3 linked regions of the Saccharomyces cerevisiae S288C genome follow. Changing the gene in region 1 together with any one later gene gives a genetic interaction. Each region holds a gene or a part of one and is shown on either strand. Other genes may lie near its edges.

The links. A genetic interaction does not mean that the proteins touch.
Region 2: mutations in SKS1 (region 1) and APS1 together harm fitness more than expected from each alone (negative genetic interaction), as found in Saccharomyces cerevisiae (3 studies listed by BioGRID).
Region 3: mutations in SKS1 (region 1) and MBA1 together harm fitness more than expected from each alone (negative genetic interaction), as found in Saccharomyces cerevisiae (3 studies listed by BioGRID).

What each region holds. Positions count from the first base shown.
Region 1 is NC_001148.4:499,573-504,312, reverse strand, and holds SKS1 (putative serine/threonine protein kinase SKS1), read left to right. Parts: upstream 1-2,129; coding exon 2,130-3,638; downstream 3,639-4,740. Other genes in the region: RMI1 (Rmi1p), read right to left, coding at 71-796; SMA1 (Sma1p), read right to left, coding at 3,911-4,648. UniProt on the Saccharomyces cerevisiae protein: May have a role in glucose regulation.
Region 2 is NC_001144.5:500,079-502,597, reverse strand, and holds APS1 (Aps1p), read left to right. Parts: upstream 1-1,548; coding exon 1,549-2,019; downstream 2,020-2,519. Other genes in the region: TAG1 (Tag1p), read right to left, coding at 1-177; DPH5 (diphthine synthase), read left to right, coding at 436-1,338; UPS2 (Ups2p), read left to right, coding at 2,328-2,519. UniProt on the Saccharomyces cerevisiae protein: Component of the adapter complexes which link clathrin to receptors in coated vesicles. Clathrin-associated protein complexes are believed to interact with the cytoplasmic tails of membrane proteins, leading to their selection and concentration.
Region 3 is NC_001134.8:598,623-601,722, reverse strand, and holds MBA1 (Mba1p), read left to right. Parts: upstream 1-1,763; coding exon 1,764-2,600; downstream 2,601-3,100. Other genes in the region: PCH2 (Pch2p), read right to left, coding at 1-1,170; YBR184W (uncharacterized protein), read right to left, coding at 2,789-3,100. UniProt on the Saccharomyces cerevisiae protein: Mitochondrial inner membrane-associated mitoribosome receptor that spatially aligns the mitoribosome exit tunnel with the membrane insertion machinery and allows cotranslational protein membrane insertion.

The sequences.
Region 1 (4,740 bases):
TGCGAAAATAATGTAATATTTAACGTATACATAACGGGCAGAACGCCCTTCTAAGAAGAAGAGGCATATGCTAATCATTGGCTTTCCTTTTCTTGGAGCCGCCATTTACAAGTTGTTTGTCACGTTGTAATTTAGATTCCAAATAATCACAAAATTTCTGATCTCTATTTTCATTCCAAACTCTATTAATGCCGCCGAGAAAAATGACTTGTGAGTCCTTCAATATGAAAACGCCCCTATTGAACACAGTTCCCGGCAGTATCACAATTTTAGAACCCAGCATGCAAGAGCTCCAAGATATTGGAGTCGAGTTGATAGCAAAAAAAACGTCGCCCGACTTACTTTGTAGTGTCAATTTAAACACTGCTTTATTCTTGGCGGCACTGCTATTATTGTTGCTATTATTTTCCTTGGCGCAGTTGTTATCCGCCACATTCCCGTCATCTTCCATGTCCACTTGAGTGATGACCTCGTACTTCTTAGCGCCATTTCCTTGCGCGCCTGATCGTAGTCTATCCACTTTCTGTTTTTTCGGATCCAGCTTGGTTTTTATATCATCGATCTGTGTTAGCTTGGATTTGGTGATATTCTCTACCATCAACACCTGGAACAACAGTTCTCTGTCTACAATAACAAGTTTTTTATCTAAGATAAGATTCGAAGCAGTACCAGCCAACCAAGGTTCATTTTGGTAAGCTCTGAAAACAATCTGTTCTCTCGACCCCAAGGTGGCGGAATACGCTGGTGGTGTAATGTCATCTGTGATATCCTGTGATAAGATAGATGAAAAAGACATTCCATCCACTCGGTAGTATGTATGCTCTGCAGTATTTTGGCCTTCTTCTCAGTACTCCCTTTCTGTAAAGATTGTATGATTGGTTTATCTTTTTCCTTTTTCCTTTTCTTTTTTTTTTTTTTTTTTTTTTTCTTTTTTCTTAATAATTAGTTTCTCTTCACGCTACATGCTTTCTTGGCCCGTCCTGAGTGCAGTATCATAATTAATTTAGTAAATAAAGAAATAAACGAAGATGGACCCTCAGAGCAAACAGCCAAGACCGCTTGCATTGCAAAGTAATCTATTATTGTGCGCTGGGCCGCGGATGCCGCGGATAATAAATAGCCGGACCTGTCAAGAGGACGATAGCGGATGCGCTGGGAAGAGCTGTACTCTATGTACACATATGTATTGGTTGGAGCATATGTGCCTACATAATATGTCTAGTTGGCTCAAGCCCGTCAACTAATTAGTCTGAATGTATGGAGGCTTCTGCTGGCTCTAGCGATGTCGTCGTATTTACGTCACTGTAGTTCTCGACTCCCCGGAAAAACCTGTTCGCGTGAGCGGAACAACTTTCCATTGAGGCTTAGTGGAGGTATTTCCGGAGAGGGCATTCATCCCGGATTTCCTATTAGAATGGTGCAGTACGCCGCCCTCGCGCTCTCTACATGCTGTTTTAGCGCGCGTGATATGGACATAGATGCACCACGCGGTGTTTCTTTTCTAGGCATCAAGTGGCTTGCAGCCAATCAAACACGAGGAATGTGGGATGGAAGTACAATCTCCTCACCGCACACCCACGTTTTCCGGGACATTTCTCGGACAGACTCTTTTTTTCTTTTTTTTTTTTTTTTTGCTTCCCACGAAATCGGAACTTATCTATCAGCCGAAGAAAGCGCGTTGGACAGATACTTGAGCAGATTTTGTGGGGAGAGAGAATCTTGGGACAAATGCAAAAAAGAAATGGTCGGAACAAAAGGGCAGTATACAGGGCCGGCAGTACCTTCTGTTCCTACCACAAACCTTAACGATATCGGTGACCCTACTAAAACTGTGCAATAGATATTCCGGACCCACATCATTGCGGTGTTTTCTGAGTCCGCACTCACGGGACGAAGACGAAGAAAGACAAGAGCCTACAAATGACTATAGCGTTTTCTTTTTCCTTTTTATGCTCTTGCTACCTTTTTCGCATGAGAGGACATTCTTAAGGCGTATATTCTTATATATTATACAAAATATATTTAGTAAATTGTTAAATTTACTTATTGACTTAAATCGCCCTAGCGGAAACAAAACTCTTTAAAAGAAAACATCAAATAAGAACACAGACAAGAAATTTTGTGTACAAATGCTGTCAGACTGCTTGCTGAACAATTTCAGAATAACGGCTCAAATAGGGTCGGGTGCGTATGGACTAGTGTTCCATGTGGTGGATATACTGACGAGCCGTGAATATGCAGTGAAAACGGTCTTCAAATCCTCCTCGATGGATGAGTTTTATAATAAGAACGGTTTGAACAACAACTCTCAAGTGGCGCGAACCACTCTTCTGCAAACGCAACTGTATCATTTTTTCAAAAGTTTCCAAAAAAAATTGTTCTTACCTTCCGTTGATCTAGACTCGATATTACAGTTGACTGAGAATGAACTAAATAGGCTACCACACTACAGGGAGATTGCCTTCCAACTAAGAGTGCAGTCTCACGGCAATATCGTGAAGATTCACCAAGTTTTAGAATCTTCTATTGCCACTTTTATAGTGATGGATTATTACGACAGGGACCTTTTCACCTCGATAGTTGACGATAAGCATTTTGTAAATCATGGTATTTTGATTAAGAAAGTTTTTCTGCAGCTTTGCTCCGCATTAGATCACTGTCATCGTCTCGGTATATATCATTGTGATATCAAACCTGAAAATGTCCTACTGGATCGCAATGACAACGCTTATCTTTGCGATTTCGGGCTTTCCACTAAATCTAAATATCTAGCTCCAAATGTGTGCGTTGGCAGTTCATATTATATGGCTCCAGAAAGAATATTGTATTGTTTGAATACCACCACCAACGGCATACACGTCGACGAATGCTGTTCGAGCCTCCCTACGGATACAGGAGATATATGGTCTCTAGGCATCATCCTAATTAATTTAACTTGCATAAGAAACCCATGGTTAAAAGCTCACCAGAAGGAGGATAACACATTTCAACATTTTGCTAACGATAATAATGTCCTGAAGAAAATCCTTCCTATATCAGATGAGCTGTTCACAGTGTTGACGAAAATTCTACAACTAAATCCATACACAAGAATAGACATGAAAACTTTGATGTCCGAAGTTTCCTCTCTTACTTCTTTCACCAGGGAAGGGCCCTTGTCTCAAGTTCCAATCCTATCGAGCGAAGTTTACATGACGCATATTATAAGGAATGAAAACCTATTTTTGAGCGATTTATCACATTTTTCTGCAGACCAAGAACAACAACAACAACAGCAACAACAACAACAGCAAGTCCAAGAACAAGAACAGGAACAAAAACAAGAACAAATACAAAACCAGGAACAAGCACAACAGCAGCAAGAAGAGGAAGATGCTGAACCGGAGAGTGATATTCCATCAACGTATAATAGTGACGGAAGTATGGAAAAGTATGAATACACTAACAACCACAATAATAGTACCTTTTTAACTTCCTCAATGGACAGTACACCTTACCAATCTGATATCGATGACGTTAGTGCTTCCAAAGATTGCAAATTCCAACAAGATACATTAAGAAATAGGCTATTATGCTTACAAATGAATTTTTCTACTTTAACAGACGGTCCAAACGAGAAATGGTTACCAGATTATTGAGCAGGTCTCACCTTTATACTCACTGTATTATCTTATGTTCTAATTCGGTAATAGCTTCACCTTTTCTTTTTATCTTTGAGGTTTGTTTTTTTTCTAGTATCCTACTAGGATGGCTATAAGCAATGGCTGGAACGATTTTCATACTTTTTTTACGAACTTACGACTTTTCAGTGTCTTCTTTGATCAAAAGGAGATCACTATGGATATATATGTCCTACATAACTAATTACAATAATGATAGAATGACAGAACTTAGTCACTTTTTTTGTTTCTCAGCCCGGCGACGGCGCATTTGAATGGGTGGAAATCTTCGCTGATACCAGGTTGACAGTCTTATGATACGATTTTTTCGTCCTTTGCTTCCCCCGCAATAACCTTGCCTTTCCTCTATTTGCCGCGTTAGTAAAAGACCTTTCACAGCATCTGTAAAGTTCCTTTAATCGCATTGCAAAATACCAGGGCCTAAATGGAACTTCCTCAAACTGTCTTTCCAACCTTTCTAAGGGGTACATAAACTTTTGATATTGGATTTCCATCGATTCCCAAGGACTTCTCTTTATTGGACATTGCTTGCCTGTGACTTTTATAGGCGGCTTATAATATAGCACAAGGTCGGGCAAGTAACAAAATACAGCACTTCCTCCATTCTTATCAGGGTAGTAAGAGACTGAATCCCGAATCTCTTTTTCATTAATAACAATTTTGTTTTCTTCGATTTTCATGTTCTTGGTGGAAGAAAAAGTTTCCAACCAAGAATTGAGTTTATGTAATAATGATTCTGGGACAGGTGGCAATAAGGTAACACCCTCTCTTTTTTTCAATTCCATTTTATGATTTGCCGTTTCAGTTCTAGAAGTTTTCAAAGCAGAGTTTCGTTTGAATATTTTACCAATGGATTTTGAAAATCGTTTACCAGCACTAAATTCATGCTTGGATCCCGAATGTTGGAACAGGTGCTTAACACTCACAATTTCGGGATATTTATTAGGACCATCATTAGTACATGCCATTTCCTCTTTCCTCGCCACCAGATTTTAAGGCAGTTGATGTTTGCTTCCAAGGGAGAAAAGGAACTTATAACGGTTAAAATTAATAGAGCCTG
Region 2 (2,519 bases), on another chromosome or scaffold:
TAGCAGATATATAATTAAGCACTTTATACTCCGCCAACGAGATTTAATAAGGGTCTCATTTGCAACGTTGATTCTCACTTCATCATTGAGGAGTTGGCTTTCTTCAGTGTTTGGTCTCAACAGTGGTTGAGTTTCTAGATCTTGGTTATCCGCTCGTAAGGGTGAGTTAGTGTGCATCTTAAAAGGTTCAAGGAGTAATGCACTACACTAAGCAATAAAAAATCCCAAAAACAGGAGGATCTTGTGTCTTCTTCCCCTAGACAGTTCATCTTTTTGATTCTGGGCTTCGCATTTACCTTTAGAGAAAATTAAATAACCCCATGCATGCGATTCTAAAAAAAAGTTAACTAAGCGATGGGATGAAATTTTTTTCTGGTGGTTGTTAGCAAAGTAAAAACGAACAGGATATAGAGTGAATAAAGGACAGTGAGAAAAATGCTTTATTTGATCGGACTTGGTCTCTCGTACAAATCAGACATTACCGTTCGTGGTTTGGAAGCTATTAAGAAATGTTCTAGAGTTTATCTAGAACACTATACCAGTATCCTAATGGCTGCAAGCCAAGAAGAGTTAGAATCTTACTATGGTAAAGAGATCATCTTGGCTGATAGGGAATTAGTTGAGACTGGTTCTAAGCAGATCCTAAATAACGCCGATAAGGAAGACGTTGCTTTCTTGGTCGTGGGCGATCCATTTGGTGCCACCACACACACAGATTTAGTTCTCAGAGCTAAACGTGAGGCAATTCCCGTCGAAATTATTCATAATGCGTCCGTTATGAATGCAGTTGGGGCATGTGGCCTACAACTATACAATTTCGGTCAAACCGTTTCCATGGTTTTCTTTACCGATAATTGGAGACCAGACTCATGGTACGACAAGATCTGGGAAAATAGAAAAATTGGCCTTCATACTTTAGTGTTATTGGACATCAAAGTTAAGGAACAAAGCATTGAAAATATGGCCCGTGGCAGACTAATCTACGAACCACCAAGATACATGTCTATCGCTCAATGTTGTGAACAATTATTAGAAATTGAAGAGAAAAGAGGTACAAAGGCATACACTCCTGATACTCCAGCAGTCGCAATTAGTAGATTAGGCTCGAGCTCCCAAAGCTTTAAGTCTGGTACCATAAGTGAGTTAGCCAATTACGATTCAGGAGAGCCACTTCATTCGCTTGTCATCCTCGGCAGACAATGTCATGAATTGGAGCTGGAATACCTGCTAGAGTTTGCCGACGACAAAGAAAAGTTTGGGAAAGATGTGGCAAATGACCAAGAGTACTTCAAACCTGCGGCATGGGTCCCACCCACAGAAGACGACAGCGACGAGTAAAGGTAATGCACACGCTCATGTGTAGTTTCTTTTTTATAATGTATATTGAATAGATCCTTTCAGTCGGGTAACAATTCGATCCCAAACGAATCGGGCCCTAACGATATGTGTAAAAATGGCAATGAATGAACAAGAAGTTATAACAACAATTTCAGCCAAGAACAAGAGCGATCCTGGAGGAGATTATATACGGATACACAGGTACACAAGATGACGCAATTAAAATATTTGTTGCTGGTTTCTAGGCAAGGAAAAATCAGATTAAAGAAATGGTACACGGCAATGTCCGCTGGTGAAAAGGCAAAAATTGTGAAAGACTTGACACCTACGATATTAGCAAGAAAACCCAAAATGTGTAACATCATCGAGTATAATGACCACAAAGTAGTATACAAGCGATATGCTAGTCTATATTTTATTGTTGGGATGACGCCCGATGTTGACAATGAACTGCTGACCTTGGAAATTATCCATCGGTTTGTCGAAACAATGGACACATATTTCGGCAATGTTTGTGAGCTAGACATTATATTTAACTTCAGTAAGGTCTACGATATCTTGAATGAGATGATTATGTGCGATGGCTCCATCGCAGAGAGCAGTAGGAAGGAAGTACTGCACCATGTGACCGTGATGGACACCATGGAGAGCAACGATAATCTTGAAAGGGTATTGAGTTAGGACCACTAAAAAACAATGGAATGAAGAAGAAAGGAGAAGAATAAGATGAGAAGGGGGCAAGGGGCCCTACTATTATTACCGTCTGTCGCAAAAGCCGTTGCCCGGACAAAAATATCTTTTGCGAGCATCGGCACAACGTTGATTGGTCAGAGCGGTAAAAAGGAATGAATGTGAAAAATGTAAAGAATATATAGGCGATAAAATTATCATGCGAAGTGATGTACATATTTTTGAATTTAAGCATCAATAGGACGAAAGAATAGATTTCAGACTAAGATAAAATAATCGAGAATAATTAAAAGACGATAATGAAATTGTTTCAAAACAGTTACGATTTCAACTATCCATGGGACCAGGTAACCGCCGCTAACTGGAAAAAATACCCAAATGAAATATCTACACATGTCATCGCAGTGGACGTTTTAAGAAGAGAATTGAAGGATCAAGGTAAGGTCTTAGTTACTGAACGGTTGATTACTGTAAAACAAGGTGTTCCCAAA
Region 3 (3,100 bases), on another chromosome or scaffold:
CCCTCGTCCCTCATTGACCTTTAAAAGCTCCTCAATGTCTTTGAATACTATTGATATATTTTTTGACGATTCTCCAAACCATTTAGAAAAGATGCGTGCACAAGACAATTCTATTATTATCCCCTTATAATTAGTATCAATGGTATCGGAACCGTCTGAAAATTCCCGCCTCACAGATAATTTTTGGCAAAGTGCTTTGCATAACGTTGTTTTACCTGTTCCCGGAGGACCATGGACAAGGAGTAATTTATTATTTGTGATTAGCGTTGTAATGTCTTCTTGATTGGAGTCTCCAGTTTGTTTGAATCTTGCTATCTTGAGAGATATAGTTGCGTAGCTATATAACCTTTCTTTAATATTGTTACCAAAATACAACGATTCCCATTGGCCCTCGAAAGTTGTGCCTGGAAGATATGATATATTTACTAAGTTTAGTGTTTGCTTACTTAGTGGAATGTCAAAATTTCCCACCGAATTGATACAATTGTTTAAAGTTTCTCCCTCAAAACCATCATCCTCGTCTAGTTCTAAGTCAATCTTGTCGAACTCTGTGGACAGTATGCTGCCATTTTTCAGCTCATCTTGCTCTTCCAGACAGCAAAAGGGATATATAATGAACTCGTCAACAGATCCCATGTGATAAGTGTCCGACTCGTTGGTCTCCTCTGAATCTAAAATAGAATCTATGTGCTGACCCAAATTTATTTTCTCATGAAAGTTCAATTTAATAGAGACGTGTGATGTGGACTGTTGCTCTATAGAAATTTTTTTAACGAATAAGGATAGAAACAAATTATCTTGTCCTTCATTTACTGTGTTAACTTTGCCATTTATGCTTGAAAACTGGTGTAATAAAACTTTTGCTAGGCTTCTAATCAAATGTTGTTGCGCCTCCGTTGGTGGATCCTTAATTTCAATACTTCCTTGCCCCTCTCTCATTAATTCTTGGCCAGTTATAATCGAAGTCTTTAAACGGTCTTTTGGGAAACTTTCCAACTTCCTCTTGACCACTGCTTTTAACAGATTCAAAAATTCTCCCAGCTTTTTGTTGCTGTTTTGTTTCGAGTCAGAACCAGAATGTAGAGAAGAAATTTGCTCATCCTCTCTAAACATACATTTGATAACCCTCAGAGATGATCCTCGCACTTGTAGGTCAACTATGTAGCTCATATCCTTATTTTATGTCTTCAGTTTGAGATCAGAATATTTTTATGAAAATGTTGTCACTCTCTTTTAACCGCCTCGCATTTCGTAGATTTGCCGCCCACCTTATTGTCAACGGCAAATCTAAGGATATATATACATATATATATATTTTTGAGAAAGATTATATTTTCGCCAACGATGAAAAAGAGAAAAGTACAGTACTATGTATTATGTGTTTTTCAACTCAAGAGAGGGGCAAACATATAACTGGTGCTATATATGATTAAGGCTGCGCTCAAATATACTTCTTACTTAATTGACTGAACAATACGTTGATAAGATGAAGGAAGAGTCTCAGATATTGGTTTCACAAAAAATTCAGAGAATGGAGTCATTTCGGTTACGGGCAATCTTTCGGTGATTGGTACGGAGTATCGCGATCTTTACACGTTCCACTAGTCAATCCAATCCAATTTATTCATTTGTCCGTAAATATTCTGCCGGCCTTCTCCCCATATTACAAAATAAAAAAATAAAACCTGAGTAATGGAATAGTTGGAAAAGCAAGGCAAATTTCCATCAGAAAGCAAGCCTATCCATTCAGCTAAGCTTATGAGATGAGTGTATTAAGATCTACATGCCTTTTCTTCCCTCCAAGATCCTTGTTGATATCATTTAACAAGCGGCGATTATTTTCAACTTCGAGGTTAATTTTGAATAAAGAAAGTGAAACTACAAAGAAGAAAGATAAAAGTAAGCAGCAAGATTTTAATCCTCGGCACCTGGGTGTTGCTGCCGAAATATTTATCCCCTCGGCTTACAAGAACCTTCCAAATGTATTTGCTCATCCTCTCATTGTTGCAAATGCATTGATCAGAAGACTTTACACGTTTGGTTTGAACTCTGTTCAAGTCGCATTGTTTCGTTTTCAATCAGGCATTAAACCTTCTTTTTTACTCTGGAAAAACAAAGCCATAGAGACGTATATCAATGTAAACACGTCATTTGCTCATAAAAATTTGTCGGACATCAAAGGGTTAGTTTCATTATGGGTTCAGGAAGCTCTCGAGGCTAGGTCCCGTCAACTTCCAGGTAATGCAACACTGGACTGGCAGTTGATAAAGTTTAATGCAGTTCCTAAACTAGTCTCAGTGCAACCAATCATGATTCCCGGAATGCCGTTAGAGCATTTACAGTTGGTTTACAAATTTGATACGAAGCAAAGACTAATTAAAGTCAATCAGCAAACTAAGAAGACTGAGACGTTAGACCGTGACGTTGTAGACTATATTGCCTTTTTGTGTGATGCTACAACTAATGATATGATTTTAATGGGATCTTTGTTTGAAAGTAAACCAAATGATAAATTACCGAAAAGCTACGAGGACGATGCTAAAGTTGCCATACACAGAATGAAAGTTAACGGTGATATATATCGTTTACCTCCAAGCTAAGGCAATATGTATATAAATGCGAAAAGTTTTGGAACATCTGTAAATAGCCATTGCTTCATTTGAGTTTCTTATTCCACATACCACTTACATATTCAGTAAAAACTATTCATTTGTTTTTCATTCTGAAGTATATATATTAAATTTATTAAATAGTTTTTCATGAAAAAAGTTATTGAAGCATCTCCCTTTCAATAGTGCATTAACTCTCCCATTCTAACCCATCTTTCCGTTGAATCGTCATAGAACAATGTTTCTGACAGATTGGTTTTCCTATAACGATCTTTGCAGCACAATCTGTGAAATAATTTCCATAAGCCGGTAAGAATAGTCCTGTTATAGCTGATACTACCTTGTACATAATTCATATCACTGAGCTTTGCTTCATCTTTTAGAGGCTGAGACTTCTCAAAACCTTCTGCGCTATCCAAACGATAGGTGCTGATTTCTTTTAATGCCAATGAATTATTAGAACACTTCCTACATTTAAGAACAACCTCTTC